Callithrix jacchus: one gene and its partners. The protein of the gene in region 3 interacts with the protein of the main gene of each other region in a biochemical or structural test. Links are inferred from orthologs where the notes say so. Each region holds a gene or a part of one and is shown on either strand. Other genes may lie near its edges.

Region 1 (2,498 bases), on a different chromosome or scaffold from region 3:
GCTGGAGTGCAGTGGCATGATCTCAGCCTACTGCAGCCTCCACCTCCTAGGTTCAAGCGATTCTCCTGCCTTAGCCCCCTGAGTAGCTGGGATTACAGGCATGTGCCACCACGCCCAGCTAATTTTTGTGTTTTTAGTAGTGAGTAGTTTTGCCATGTTGGCCAGCCTGGTCTCAAACTCTTCAGCTCAAGTGATCCGCCCACCTCAGCCTCCCAAAGTGCTGGGATTACAGTCATAAGCCACCTCGCCCAGCCTTGTTTTTTTGTTTTGTTTTTTTGAGACAGTCTGGCTCTGTCGCCAGGCTGGAATGCAGTGGCACTATCTCAGCTCACTGCAGCCGCCTCCCGGGTTCAAGCAATTCTCATGCCTCAGCCTCTGAGTAGCTGGGATTACAGGCACATACCACCATGCCTGGCTAGTTTTTGTATTTTTAGTAGAGATGGGGTTTCATCATGTTGGCAAGGCTGGTCTTCAACTCCTGGCCTCAAGTGATCCACCCACCTTGGCCTTTGAAAGTGCTGGGATTATAAGCATTAGCAATCATGTCTGGTCTGAGGCCAGGGTTTTGTAGGTGTACCTGGGAGGGCACTCAGCCTGGGGGTCAAGTCTCCCGTGACTGTGCTAGAGTATCCTCAGAGGCTGCCACAGGGCTGGTGAACCAGGAAAGCCCTGAGTGCCCAAATCTGATTGGAGAGAACTGAACTAATCTCTGGTAGAGGCCAAACCAGCTGTTCAGGCCAGAGGCTGGGAGAGGCCCACAGTGTCCCTAAACATGACATCCAGGAGGCATGTCTGTGGTTTGGGAGACCCACATTCTAGCTTGGGATCTGCCACTTACTGATTGTGTGTCCTTAAGCAATTCACCTTCCCTCTCTGGGCCATATATTTCTCCATCCATAAAAGAGAAAAAAGCCAGGTGCAGTGGCTCACGCCTGTAATCCCAGCACTTCAGGAGGCTGAGATGGGTGAATGACTTGAGGCCAGGAGTTCGAGACCAGCCTGGCCAACACAGTGAAACCCCATCTCTACTAAAAATACAAAAATAGGCCAGGCGTGATGGTTCAGGCCTGTAATCCCAGCACTTTGGAAAACTAAGGCAGGCAGATCATCTGAGGTCAGGAGTTTGAGACCAGCCTGACCAACACGGCGAAATCCCGACTCTACTAAAAAAAAAAAAAAATGCAAAATTAGCCAGGAGTGGTGGTGGGAGCCTATAACCCCAGCTTCCTGGGAGGCTGAGGTGGGTGAATCACTTGAACCCAGGAGGCGGAGGTTGCAGTGAGCCGAGATCGTGCCACTGTACTCCAGCCTGGGTAATAAGAGAGAGACTCTGTCTCAAAAAAAAAAAAAGAGAGAGAAAGGGCTGGGCACAGTGGCTCATGCCTGTAATCCCAGTACTTTGGGAGGCCAAGATGGGTGGATCATTTGAACTCAGGAGTTCAAGACCAGCCTGGGCAACCCGGTGAAATTCCGAAAAAAAAAAAAGACCGGGCCTTGTGGCTCACCCCTGTAACCCCAGCACTTTGCCAAGCTGAGTAGGGCAGATCACAAGGTCAAGAGATTGAGACCATCCTTGCTAATATGCTGAAACCCCCATCTCTACTAAAAATACAAAAGTTAGCTTGGCATGGTGGTTCAAGATTTTAGTCCCGGCTACTCGGGAGGCTGAGGCAGGAGAATCACCTGAACCTGGGAGGTGGAGGTTGCAGTGGACTGATATGGCGCCACTGCACTCCAGCCTGGCGACAGAGGGAGACTCTGTCTCAAAAAAAAAAAGAGAGTAGAGAAGATTTCAGTAGGTTGTTGTGTGCATGAAGGTGGATGACCTCTTAAAGGTCTAAGGAAAGATATCAACAGGAACTTTATCTTAGTCATAAACTTGAATCCCTTCCTTCCTCATTTTGTTTTTTAATTAACTGCGACATCCTTGAGAACAGAAAATTTTGTTTAGCACCTGGCAAGGTGTCTGACAACATAGGAAATGGTAATCACCGCACTAATGATAATAGCAGACACCGTGACTGGCCCAGTTCTAAGCCCTCTTAAATTTATTAACTCAAAGCTCAAAGTTCTCAGCAGGGCAGCCCTGTCTCCACCCCCACCCCTGGGGGATGGGTTGCAGGACCCCCTAAGTGCCATCTTCCCTTCCTCCCTCAGGGCTCCCGGAGCGGGTGGAGCTGGCACCCCTCCCCCCTTGGCAGCCGGTGGGTCAGAACTTTACCCTGCACTGCCAAGTGGAGGGTGGGTCGCCCAGGACCAACCTCACGGTGGTGCTGCTCCGCTGGGAGGAGGAGCTGAGCCGGCAGCCTGCAGTGGAGGAGCTCGCAGAGGTCACTGCCACTGTGCTGGCCGGCAGAGGTGACCACGGAGCCCATTTCTCATGCCGCACAGAACTGGACCTGCAGCTCCAAGGGCTGAGACTGCTCGTGAACACCTCAGCCCCCCGCTGGCTCCGAACTTTTGGTGAGAGAAGGGGCTTCAGACGGTGGGTGATGAGC
Region 2 (3,570 bases), on a different chromosome or scaffold from region 3:
TCAATATCTCTTAGTTCATTTGCTGAAAGGTCTAGTGATGTAACATATTCTCTCTCAGACGCCAGAGAAGAAATACTTTCTGAATGCCTCATATGGGATTGAACTTTTGATGACCCTTTTGTCAAAAACAAACAATGGAAATATAAACAAATCATTTAAATTCATGTGGTAAAAGTTTACTGAGCACCTCCTAGTAATCAAGCTTTCTTCAAGGCATTGAAGATTCAGTAGAAAACCAAACTATGTAGTTTGCATTCCAGTGGCAGAGATGAACAGTAAATAAACAACATTTCATCAGGTGGTGTAAGTGGCGTTAAAAAAAAAAGAAAGAAAGAAAACTGGAGAAGAGGATGAAGAGTGGCATTGGTGGAGGTATTATCTACATTTCAGAAAATTTGCAAAAAATGTATTAAAGTGTTATATAATATTCAGGAAAGGTAAATTTTTAAATATATATTTCATTTTTCTACAGCTTATGGAAGAAATCATTAGGTAAATACATATTTAGATTATGTAAGATGAAACTGTCACCAAAAGTATTTGAATAATTGGAGGAAATGCAACAAAACATTGCATTCTGCCCAAAATATCTATGTACTTATGATTACATCCAAATACTTACTGAGTGAATCATCTGAAGATAATATTTTCCTTTTTCTCCTCAGTAAATCTTCATGATCAAAAATGGGTCCCTGTTAAAAAATAATGATGTATTGCTGTCATTTGTTGGAGAAGAGGACATTTTTATAAGGAAAGAAACACAAAATTTTAATGGGCTTAAATGGTATTTATAATAAGGAAAAAAAATAGGCAAATAAAAACTAAGAACCCAATTATGAAGATAAAAGAAAACAATCCAGTTCAGTGCTCAAATGACCTTAGAAAGACCTACTCTTTCTCCTTTGTTTTAAATATAAGGAAACTGAAAAACAGAGTGGTTGAGTCAAAAAGCTATATACATATAATTTCTCTCATTAATCAAACTACTTTTTATAACTAAGCTGTTTACATAAATTTGAAAGAGCATACATAAAGACTGAGAGCAAAGTTAACCTATTCAACTATAGTCATTCATTTCACCCATCTTAAAATCTAGAATTAACATAAAACAACCCTCATATGTACTCAGCTATAATCAAAATTAGAGCATAGGTTAGAATAGATCTTCCAAAGTGAACCTGAAAATAAGATGGCTCCCAATTTTTTCAACTAGAGTTATCAAACTCCTCATGCAAATATGGCATAGTCCTGCCATAGTTCAAAAATAGACAGTAGGTTGAAATAATAACTGTGTCTAAAAAATTAAATGACTTTCAATACACTAATATATATATATATTTTTTTTTAATGAACAATGAATGATACTATGCTACTCCATCTTGTTCAGTGTCCTTCAGACTTCTGTCTGGTTTCTTAAAAATCACCATAAGATTTCTAGCTAAAGTATTCATGGGACCAACCCACATCATTAGGTACAGGTCTAGCTTGGGCTCTTTTCAGACATGGAGCTTTGAAAAGAAGGAAGAAAATCATCTTGAATTGTACTGTCAGTACATATATGTCCCAAACAAAGTCATACCCTACATACTCAAAAGACTACAAATGTGAATTTAGCATCATTTACAACTTATATGTTTTCATGTGTGCGTGTGTGTGTGTGTGTGTGTGTGTGTGTCTGTGTGTGTGTATAAAACATTTCAAAATTACAGTTTTCATGCATCAGGGAAATCCCTACCAATTGTTCCTAGCTTTGACATAAATCCTAGTTATCAAGAGAATGTCACCAGCAAAACACAACATAATCACAATTTAACTTACCAAAGAATTGGAATGCCTTTGCAAATTTGGTGAACAACGCTGCAATGCAAGATCTTGGTAAAATTCTCCTACACTAATTGAATTTGATTTCTTTTTCACAAGGAATGAGCCTTCACTTCCTATTTTAAAATGATAAAATAACATGAAGGTGAGTACGAAACGTTTACTCGATCATAAGATCCTAGTATCATAGTTCAATCATGGAAGATTAAACCTATTTTTATTAATGGAAATTTCACAGTCCATTTCCTCTGTAAAATCCTTAAAATAGAGATTGATAAGCCATGTTGGTTTTCACTTTAAAAAAATTCAACAACATTTTTCTTCGCCCATAAATATTTATGGAATGGCTGTTACAGACTAGACACTGGTTAAGCACTGAATAATAATATGCAGGAAAAAAATGAATCCATTTCTGAGAGACACTCATAGTCCAGAAGAAAAGAGCCAAATCAATCAGTGGTTACACATGCTATACCAAATACATGTGTGTACAGAGAGCAGAGAAACTTTGTATGCCATCTGATCAATGTGACAACTTTCTGTTTTTCTGAATTTTTTTATACAGACAATTGCAATGAGGTCCTGCAGACTGGGAAAGAGAGTGGGTGAACTACCTGAATTTTTCTTATGAATTTTTCAAATCTTGCTTCAAATGTTATAATCACACAAATTATTTAAGTCAGCAATTTTGAATATATTCCTATTTGAATATCATATTTCATGGTTTCTTTTATGGAATGATATTAAAATAAACACAATGAATTTGGCTGGCAATAATTATTTTATGAAATAAGGAAAAGGCAGAACTTTCAAAATAATATATTTTCCAGAAAAAAATCAATAAATAAATCATATTAAAGATAAACAATGTGAATGCATTTGTGAAAAATTATTTATGGTTTTTAATTCACCTACTCTTTATCTTAGAAAAACAAAGAATTCATTTTATGTCAAAACAAAATTATAAAATCTACGTATCCAAAAATCACCTTTATGATATTTAGTATAAATCCTGATATAAACAGTTCCTGCCTGATTCATTACAAATTTAATTAGTTCTATAATTTAAATTGTTTTAATGCTTAAGAATTTTAATACAATAGAATTTATAATAACAATTACATAATTATAAAGATCATTCAATTATAATTATCCTACTTTATATGTTTGTGAAATGTCTATTAGCACATTATCTGTACAAGCAGCATAGTGCATTTTATACTTATTTTATGTTAAAATTTCTAATGCTTTCTTTAAAAATACTTGAAGAGAGTTCTTTCAGGCATGATGGAGTAACAAGTGTGAACTTAACCTACTGCCATAAACAACAAGAAAACTGGACAAGTATATTAAATGACTGAATGCAGATACTGGTCAACAGACAGCATAGGACTATGTAATACTGGAAAGAAGGGAAACAAATTATGTGAGTCCTATATCACTCTGGCCTTCTGCTTGGAGATAATTTAAGGGCCATATACATAAGAAGAAATTTAAACAGCCTCATGGCTTTCCTGAGATGAGGACATAGAGATCAACATTTATGGAGACAGATAGCTGGGAGTTCTGGGGTAGTTACAGAAAACGAGCTCCAATTATCTGCATATGGGTTTCTGGAAGATCTGCACAAGAAACGTAAAGGGAATCCTACCAGAAGAAGAAAATGATACTAACTTGCAAACTTAGATTAATATAAAATGGTTACCTCATTAAAAAATGTTTTAAATATACTTCTTAATGTTCATATAC
Region 3 (3,570 bases):
AGGTGAGCGGATCACCTGAGGTCAGGAGTTCAAGACCAGCCAGGCCAACAAAAAAGCCCTGTCTTTACTAAAACTACAAAAATCAGCCAGGCATGGTGGCACATGCCTGTAATCCTAGCTACTTGAGAGGCCGAGGTTGCAATGAGTCCAGATCATGCCACCACACCCCAGCCTGGGCGACAGAGCAATAGTCCATCTTAAAAAAAACAATCAAATATGTGAACAGTGTCCACTTTTGGGACTCAGGGGCTTGGAAATATGAGATGCATTCTGTTTCCACCCCAGAACCTCAATGCAGCAGAGACAATAGCTAAGAAGCAGTGCTTAAGACTGCCTGTGGCTCTCCCTCGTCCACAGTGAGGGAAACAGGCAGCAGAGTGGTAACAGGTACAGAATGTCTGCTGGCCATTTCTTGGCTTCAACATCCCCCTCCATTCCCAATCTCTATTCATGTTTCTTGTTCATGCACGTGCACACATGCGTGCGTGCACACACACACACACCCTTCAGAAAAGGAAGACAAAAATAGAATAGCATGATTGTTCATTATGCAGGCCTTGGCAAATACCAGTCTTGATCAGAAAGAGGAATCACTCACCGGGGCTTTTTTGTCAATGGGCTTGATGACAAATTTCTTATCATTGAAAGAGATGTTCCTGATTTCACTCCAGGGGAAGCCTATCTTGGGAGTCAGTCTGTAGAAATGGAAACCAATAACATCAGGACAAGGGCCAGACAAGAAGGACATAGAGTACTGGTGGCTTGCCCTCACTGTCACACCCAAGCCTCTGTGTTTCTATCTCTTTTTTTAAATATATAGAGATGAGGTCTTACTATGTTACCCAGGCTGGTCTTGAACTCTTGGGCTCAAGCAATCCTCCTGCCTCAGTCTCCCAAAGTGCTGGGATTACAGGCATGAGCCATTGAGCCTGGCCAAACAAACACTTCTCTCTGGGGGAGACAGACTCAGTGCCAGCTCAGCCAGTGTCATCACATGCCACCAGGCCAGTTGCCAGCACTGAGAGTTTACTAAAGGATCTCCTGATACAACTAACATATGATTCCTCATCTCAAGTTTGTTTTGTTATGTTTTTGTTTGAGGCACGGAACTTGTAACAGTTCCTCAAGGGAATCCCCAGCTCTATTTAACTGAGTCTCTTCTACCAAGCTTACAAAAGTTAGAGAGAAGGTAAATAATGAACTCCAAGATTCAGGAGTTATATGGAACAATAATCTATTGATCTCCATCCTCACCAAGAGCACATGAAGTGAAAAATATAGGCAAGTGAGATAAGACTACAGTGAGTGGATTATAGGTCAAACACATAATCATCATATGAGACCAATTACATATCCCAATAAAATAAACTAGGCCCGCGTGATCTGATAAAAACATAATGAATGTCTCATATGTAATTTTTTTTTTAGACAGAGTTTTGCTCCTGTTGTCCAGGCTGGAGTGCAATGGCACGATGTCGGCTCACTACAACTTCCGCCTCCTGGGTTCAAACAATTCTCCTGCCTCAGCCTCCTGAGTAACTGGGATTACAGGCAAGTGCCACCACGCTCGGTTAATTTTGTATTTTCAGTAGAGGCAGGGTTTCTCCATGTTGGTCAGGCTGGTCTCAAACTCCCGATCTCAGGTGATCTACCCTCCTCAGCCTCCCAAAGTGCTGGGATTACAGGTATGAGCCACCACACCCAGCCACATATATAATTTTAAGTTTTCTAGTAGCCATATGAAAATAAGTAAAAAGAAATAGATGTAATAAAATTATAGTAAGTTTAAATAACCTAATATATCTAAAATATTATCATTTGAACATGTAAATAAATATTTTTTAAAATATTGAGACATTTCACATTCTGTTTTTTACACTAAATCTTCAAAGTCCAGTGTGTAGTTTACACTTACAGCACATCTCAATTCAAAGTAGCCACACTTCAAGTGTTGAATAGCCCCCATGTGGCTGGTGACTATTATAGTTGACAGTGTGAGTCTAGTCAAGACAGGATTTAGAGGCCTAAGGGAAGTTGTGAAATCATCTGGGCTGGACTAAATTAGGTAGACAAAAGAACTGAGGTGAGACCCAAGAGGTATGGCCATGCTCCTTGGTGAAAGGTGAAACCTAGATGTAAAAGTGACCTAAACAAACTAAAAGAGATCTGAGATATACCTGTCATTCTGCTCATAGATGTTGAGACCCAGGGCATCCACCCCCAGCCACAGCTCTGAGCCTTTCTTGTTCTTGATGCTGAAATAGTTCACACCATACATCTCCAGATCTTGAGCAATCTTCAGATATTCCAGGACAGCATCCTCCCTAAATGACACAGAGTTGCGGGTCAAAAACGAAGCCTGGGAGTCAGACCCAGAGAGAGAAAGCCTGCTTGCGCTGTACTTCTGACAAGGATTTTGCTGTTAGGAGTGGGAAAGTGGATAAAAAGCAAGTAGATGATAGAGAACAGAGCACAACATGAGTTTTGCAAAGCAAAATCTCCTAGCAAAAACCTAGGGTCTATGCTCCCAAAGGGAATAAAGATGGACTGACCCTTGCTGGCCTCTGGCATGTTGGCTGCCATAGGAGCAATTTTCCTTCTCTCATTCATTATGACAGCCTCTTATACAGGTACATTTTTAGCAGGGCTCAGAGTGTAGTGATGGCAAAATGATATTTGTTCTGCAACTAGACAACCCTCAAAAATGCTTTGTCATGTTTAAGAGCTCCTTCCTCATTTCCTTCTGGTGAGGAGCGGGGTAGTCCTTGGTGGCCCAGCAGCTTCCTGGACATCCTGAGGTCCCCTCCATTTCTTGATAGTCAAAACTGTTTGGGCTACCAGTTACTACCATTCGACAAAACAAGCAAACAAAAAACAGCCCTGTAATGGTCCTAGTTTGACTTCTATTGTCCCTGTTTCCTCTTTCTCCCACATCCACCAATGTCCCTTGTCATCCGTCTCTTCTTCTCAGAATGCATTATCATTCTCCCTGTAAGGGAAGTGAGGCCCACCACTGCTGGGGCAAGCTTACCTGAGCATGCCGCGGTGTTCCTCATGCCACACCTGGATCCGCTCCTCCCACTGGTCCTTGTTGAGTTTGTGCTGTTCCAGGACTCTGGAAAGACAATAAGTGATGAGTAGTTAAAAACACAAAGCCCCTGTGCAGGAGAGAAGGGAAGCCCATTTAGCTTTCTACAGGTTTGATGCAAAGAGGATGCAGAGTCAACCAATTGAGATCACACTGGAAGTGGACTGAAATTATAGCAAGAATGTATAAAACTAGACATAAAGAATTGCCTGAAAGGTAAGAGAGCTACAACACTGGATGATCAAAAACAAAAGGAACATCTTCCTTTGTACCTTTATCCACAAAATTAAATGATGTGCTGTAGTCCCTAAGCATAGCAGTAATGTATCAGAAGTTTGTGCTGACTTTAGAGGCTAACAGTAGGGATGGACCTCATGGAGCCAGGTACACTCTCTCCTAGATCCTCTTGGGACAAACAGCTTATGTTTATAACAATAGTGCTCAGAGATGAAAGGATGGCCTTTGGCTACAGAGCAAAGAAT
Region 4 (4,293 bases), on a different chromosome or scaffold from region 3:
ACGCGACTCTCCTACCTCAGTCTCTCGAGTAGCTGAGACTACAGGCAGGAGCCACCAGGCCCAGCTAGTTTTTTTTTTTTAATTAGTAGAGATGGGGTTTCACTATGTTGGCCAGGCTGGTCTCAAACTCCTGACCTCAGGTATTCCTCCTGTATTTGGCCTCCCAAAATGCTGGGATTACAGGCATGAGCCACCACACTGGCCTGGCAAATTTTTAATTTTTTTTTTTTTTTTTTTTTTTTGAGACGGAGTTTTGCTTGTTACCCAGGCTGGAGTGCAATGGCATGATCTCGGCTCACCGCAACCTCCGCCTCCTGGGTTCAGGCAATTCTCCTGCCTCAGCCTCCTGAGTAGCTGGGATTACAGGCAGGCGCCACCATGCCCAGCTAATTTTTTGTATTTTTAGTAGAGACAGGGTTTCACCATGTTGACCAGGATGGTCTCGATCTCTTGACCTCACGATCCACCCGCCTCGGCCTCCCAAAGTGCTGGGATTACAGGCTTGAGCCACCGCACCCAGCCCTAATTTTTAAATTTTTTATAGATGACAGGCCTGAGCCACTGCACTGGGGCCTCTCTCTTATCAGGTAGTCCTTATAGTCCTTATCAGGCTTTGACTGTGGGCCCCTCACACTGTCTAACTTAACCCTCCCAGGAACTTTGAAGAATACTATTATTATTCCTATTTCACAAATGAAGAAACTAAAACAGAGAGATTAAATGCCTGACCCAGGGCCATCTAGATGGCAGGCGACGCAGGCGGGAGTCAAACTCAGGTATCCCTGCACCCCCCATCCTGCTTCTGTGGCCTCCCTGCCCCCAGGCTTCTGCTGGCCCCTGTCTACCTTGGAATAGGAACAGCCCCTCAAAGACCTGCAGGGAGCTGGACACCGTGGCTCACGCCTATAATCCCAGCACTTGGGGAGGCTGGGGTGAGTGGATCACCGGAGGTCAGGAGTTCAAGACCAGCCTGACCAACATGGAGAAACCCCGCCTCTACTAAAAATACAGAAATTAGCCGGGCATGATGGTGGGCACCTGTAATTCTAGCTACTCAGGAGGCTGAGGCAGGATAATTGCTTGAGAACCCCAGAGGTGGAGGTTGCAGTGAGCCAAGATCGAGAAACTGAACTGCAGCCTGGGCAACAGAGATTCCATCTCAAAAAAAAAAAAAAAAAAAAAAAAAAAAAAAAGAGACCTGTAGGGGGAACTGGGCCTGTGGTGGGCAGAACTATTATCTCAGGAGAAGCAGCAAACCTCTGGTGACCGCTGATGACCTCAAGGCTGGGTGGGCAGGGCCTTCACATCAGCTCCAGGCACACCCAGCCTCCCTGTCCCTGGCCTCACCACACCCCTCTCTGTTCTCCACCCTTTGGCCTCCTTGCCTTTGTCCACCGTTCTGCAGCCTGACACCCTCTTCCTTCTCTTAACCAGAGAAGTCTGCAGTCAGTAAACATCAGCCAGTGCCTACTGTGTACCAAGCACTTCCTGGGTGCTGGAGCCCTGTGGAAGCACACACGCATAGCCATGAGGGCAAGGGGCTGGCATTCCAGCGTGGGGAGAGCAACAGAAGCAAAATAAGAAGGTCCATTACAATGGTGAGTTAGAAGACGAGAAGTGCCATGGAGAGAAAGCAAGGAGAGGGGTTACAGTCCAGAGGGAGGGGGTGCGATTTAAATAGGGTGGCCAGCTGGGCTCTCTGGCTCACACCTGTAATCCCAGCACTTTGGGAGGCCGAGGTAGGAGGTTCACTTGAGCCTAGGAGTTTGAAATCAGCCTGGGCAACAAAGCAAGACCTCATCTGTATAAAAAATTTTAAAATTAGGCCGGGCATGGTGGCTCACGCCTGTAATCCCAGCACTTTGGGAGGTCAGGGAGGATGGATCACTTGAGCTCAGGAGTTCGAGACCAGTCTGGCCAACATGGTGAAACTCTGTCTCAATTAAAAATACAAAAAATTAGCCTGGTGTGGTGGCACGTGCCTGTAATCCTGGCTGCTTAAGAGACTGAGGCAGGAGAATCGCTGGAAACCAGGAGGAGGAGGTTGCAGTGAGCCGAGATTGTGCCACTGCACTCCAGTCTTGGAGACAGAGTGAGACCCTGCCTCTCAAAAAAAAAAAAAAAAGAATTTCCAGGCTCATTTCTTACTTTCCCTGGCCTAGCTGTGGAATCAGCCACTTCCCAAGGAACCCTTGTTCCTTCAAGGGCAGTGATACTTATTTATTTATTTATTTATCGAGACAGACTCTTGCTCTGTTACCCAGGCTGGAGTGCAATGGTGTGATCTCGGCTCACTGCAACCTCTACCTTCTAAGTTCAAGGGATTCTTCTGCCTCAGCCTCCCAAGTAGCTGGGATTATAGGTGCCTGCCACCATACTCGGCTAATTTTTGTATTTTAAAAGTAGAGACGGGGTTTCACTATGTTGGTCAGGCTGGTCTCAAATTCCTGACCTCAAGTGATCCACCTGCCTCAGCCTCCCAAAGTTTTGGGATTACAGGTGTGAGCCGCCGCGCCCGGCCAAGTGGTATTTAGAAACCAAGATCTGGATGTCAGATGGCTGAGTCCATTTTGAAGGTAGAAATAGCAGAATTTGCAGATAGATTGGATATGGGGCATAAGAGAAGGAGAGGAGTCTCTAGCTTTTTATTTTAAGTGTTTAATTTTAATTTTTAAAAACTAGAGAGAGAGTTTTGCTATGTTGCTCAAGCTGGTTTCAAACTCCTGAGCTCAAGCAATCTACCTGCCTTGGCCTCTCAAAATGCTAGGATTATAGGTGTGAACTGCTATACCCAGCATCGCTATCTACCTATCTACCTATCTGTCTATCTATTTATTTTTGGGACAGGGTCTCGCTCTGTTGTCCAGGCTGGAGTGCAGTGGCAGGATCTTGGCTCACTGCAGCCTCCACCTCCCGGGTACAAATGATTCTCGTGGCTCAGCCTCCTGAGTAGCTGGGATTACAGTTGTGTGCCACCCCACTCAGCTAAGTTTTGAATTTTTAGTAGAGACCGGGTTTTACCATGTTGGCCAGGCTGGTCTCGAACATCTGACCTCAAATGATCCGCCTGTCTCGGACTCCCAAAGTGCTGGGGTATTACAGGCGTGAGCCACTGTGTCCGGCCAACCTAAGAGGTCTTTAGCCTTGGCCTTTGGCCCTTAGACGGACTTGGCTTAGCATCTCAACTCTAGCACTTACTGGTTGTATGAGTCTGGCCAAATCTCTCAATCGTTTTATTTTTCAGATTCAGTTCTCAGTTTCTTCACCTGCAAAATAAGGGTAGTGGTACGTGTTTCACAGTGCTGTCCAGAGGAATAGATGCGCTGTGAATGGAAAGTGCTTGGTCCTGAGGCTGGCTCATTCAAAATGCGTTGGGCAGCTGGCTTAGCTTCTCTACACCTTGGCTTCCTCACTGGTAAAATAGCCTTGCTCTGGGGAGCCACTGGGGCCAAACACTGAGACCCTTTGGTGCTGTACCTGGAAGACGGCGAGAATCAGTCTGTGACCGTGGCAATCAAAGTCTTCTAAGTGTTGCCTTTTTTTTTTTTTTTGGGATAGAGTTTCACTCTTGTCACCCAGGCTGGAGTGCCGTGGTTTGATCTTGGCTCACTGCAACCTCTGCCTCCTGGGTTCAATAAATTTTCCTGCCTCAGCCTCCCAAGTAGCTGGGATTACAGGCACCCGTCACATGCCCAGATAATTTTTGTATTTTTAGTAGAGATGGAGTTTCGCCATGTTGGTCAGGCTGGTCTTGAACTCCTGACCTCAGGTGAACACCCACATCGGCCTCCCAAAGTGCTGGGATTACAGGCATGAGCCACAGTGCCTGGCCCATTTCTGTCTGTTTTCTTTTTTTTTTTTTTTTTGAGAGAAGGAAAGAAAAAAAAATAAGTAAAGGAGAGGAAGAAAGAGGAAGAGAAAGAGGGAGAGTAAATGGAAATATTGCTTTATTTTGAAAAAAATTGGGTATTAATAATGGCCAATCAATGTTTCATTTAAACTTATGGGTAGGTGTGATGTGGTATTGACAAGAATGTATATTTTGTGTATTTGAAGTGGAGAGCTCTATAAATATTTATTAAGTTTACTTGTTCTGGATCTGAGTTCGAGTCTTGGATATCCTTATTAATTTTCTGTCTCATTGAATCTAAGTCTCCTATCTGGGTGTTAGGATCGTTAGCTCTTGTTGTTGCATTGATCCTTTTACCACTATATCTTTGTTGCTTTAAAATCTATTTTATCCGATACAAGAATTGCAACTCCTGCTTTTTATTTATTTATTATTTATTTTTG

Evidence for each region.
Region 1: the proteins of MSN (region 3) and ICAM3 form a complex in vitro, tested with the Homo sapiens proteins (2 studies listed by BioGRID). The link is inferred for Callithrix jacchus from reciprocal best matches to the Homo sapiens genes MSN and ICAM3.
Region 2: of the proteins of MSN (region 3) and LRRK2, one has a biochemical effect on the other in vitro, tested with the Homo sapiens proteins (9 studies listed by IntAct). The link is inferred for Callithrix jacchus from reciprocal best matches to the Homo sapiens genes MSN and LRRK2.
Region 4: the proteins of MSN (region 3) and SPN form a complex in vitro, tested with the Homo sapiens proteins (2 studies listed by BioGRID). The link is inferred for Callithrix jacchus from reciprocal best matches to the Homo sapiens genes MSN and SPN.

The regions. Positions count from the first base shown.
Region 1 is NC_133523.1:9,527,377-9,529,874, reverse strand, and holds part of ICAM3 (intercellular adhesion molecule 3), read left to right. Parts: intron 1-2,157; coding exon 2,158-2,463; intron 2,464-2,498. UniProt on the Homo sapiens protein: ICAM proteins are ligands for the leukocyte adhesion protein LFA-1 (integrin alpha-L/beta-2). ICAM3 is also a ligand for integrin alpha-D/beta-2. In association with integrin alpha-L/beta-2, contributes to apoptotic neutrophil phagocytosis by macrophages.
Region 2 is NC_133510.1:35,425,045-35,428,614, forward strand, and holds part of LRRK2 (leucine-rich repeat serine/threonine-protein kinase 2), read right to left. Parts: intron 1,938-3,570; coding exon 1,819-1,937; intron 693-1,818; coding exon 623-692; intron 116-622; coding exon 1-115. UniProt on the Homo sapiens protein: Serine/threonine-protein kinase which phosphorylates a broad range of proteins involved in multiple processes such as neuronal plasticity, innate immunity, autophagy, and vesicle trafficking.
Region 3 is NC_133524.1:62,810,872-62,814,441, reverse strand, and holds part of MSN (moesin), read right to left. Parts: intron 3,116-3,570; coding exon 3,032-3,115; intron 2,325-3,031; coding exon 2,178-2,324; intron 696-2,177; coding exon 599-695; intron 1-598. UniProt on the Homo sapiens protein: Ezrin-radixin-moesin (ERM) family protein that connects the actin cytoskeleton to the plasma membrane and thereby regulates the structure and function of specific domains of the cell cortex.
Region 4 is NC_133513.1:29,836,057-29,840,349, reverse strand, and holds the start of SPN (leukosialin), read left to right. Parts: upstream 1-1,483; 5' UTR 1,484-1,595; coding exon 1,596-1,598; intron 1,599-4,293. UniProt on the Homo sapiens protein: Predominant cell surface sialoprotein of leukocytes which regulates multiple T-cell functions, including T-cell activation, proliferation, differentiation, trafficking and migration.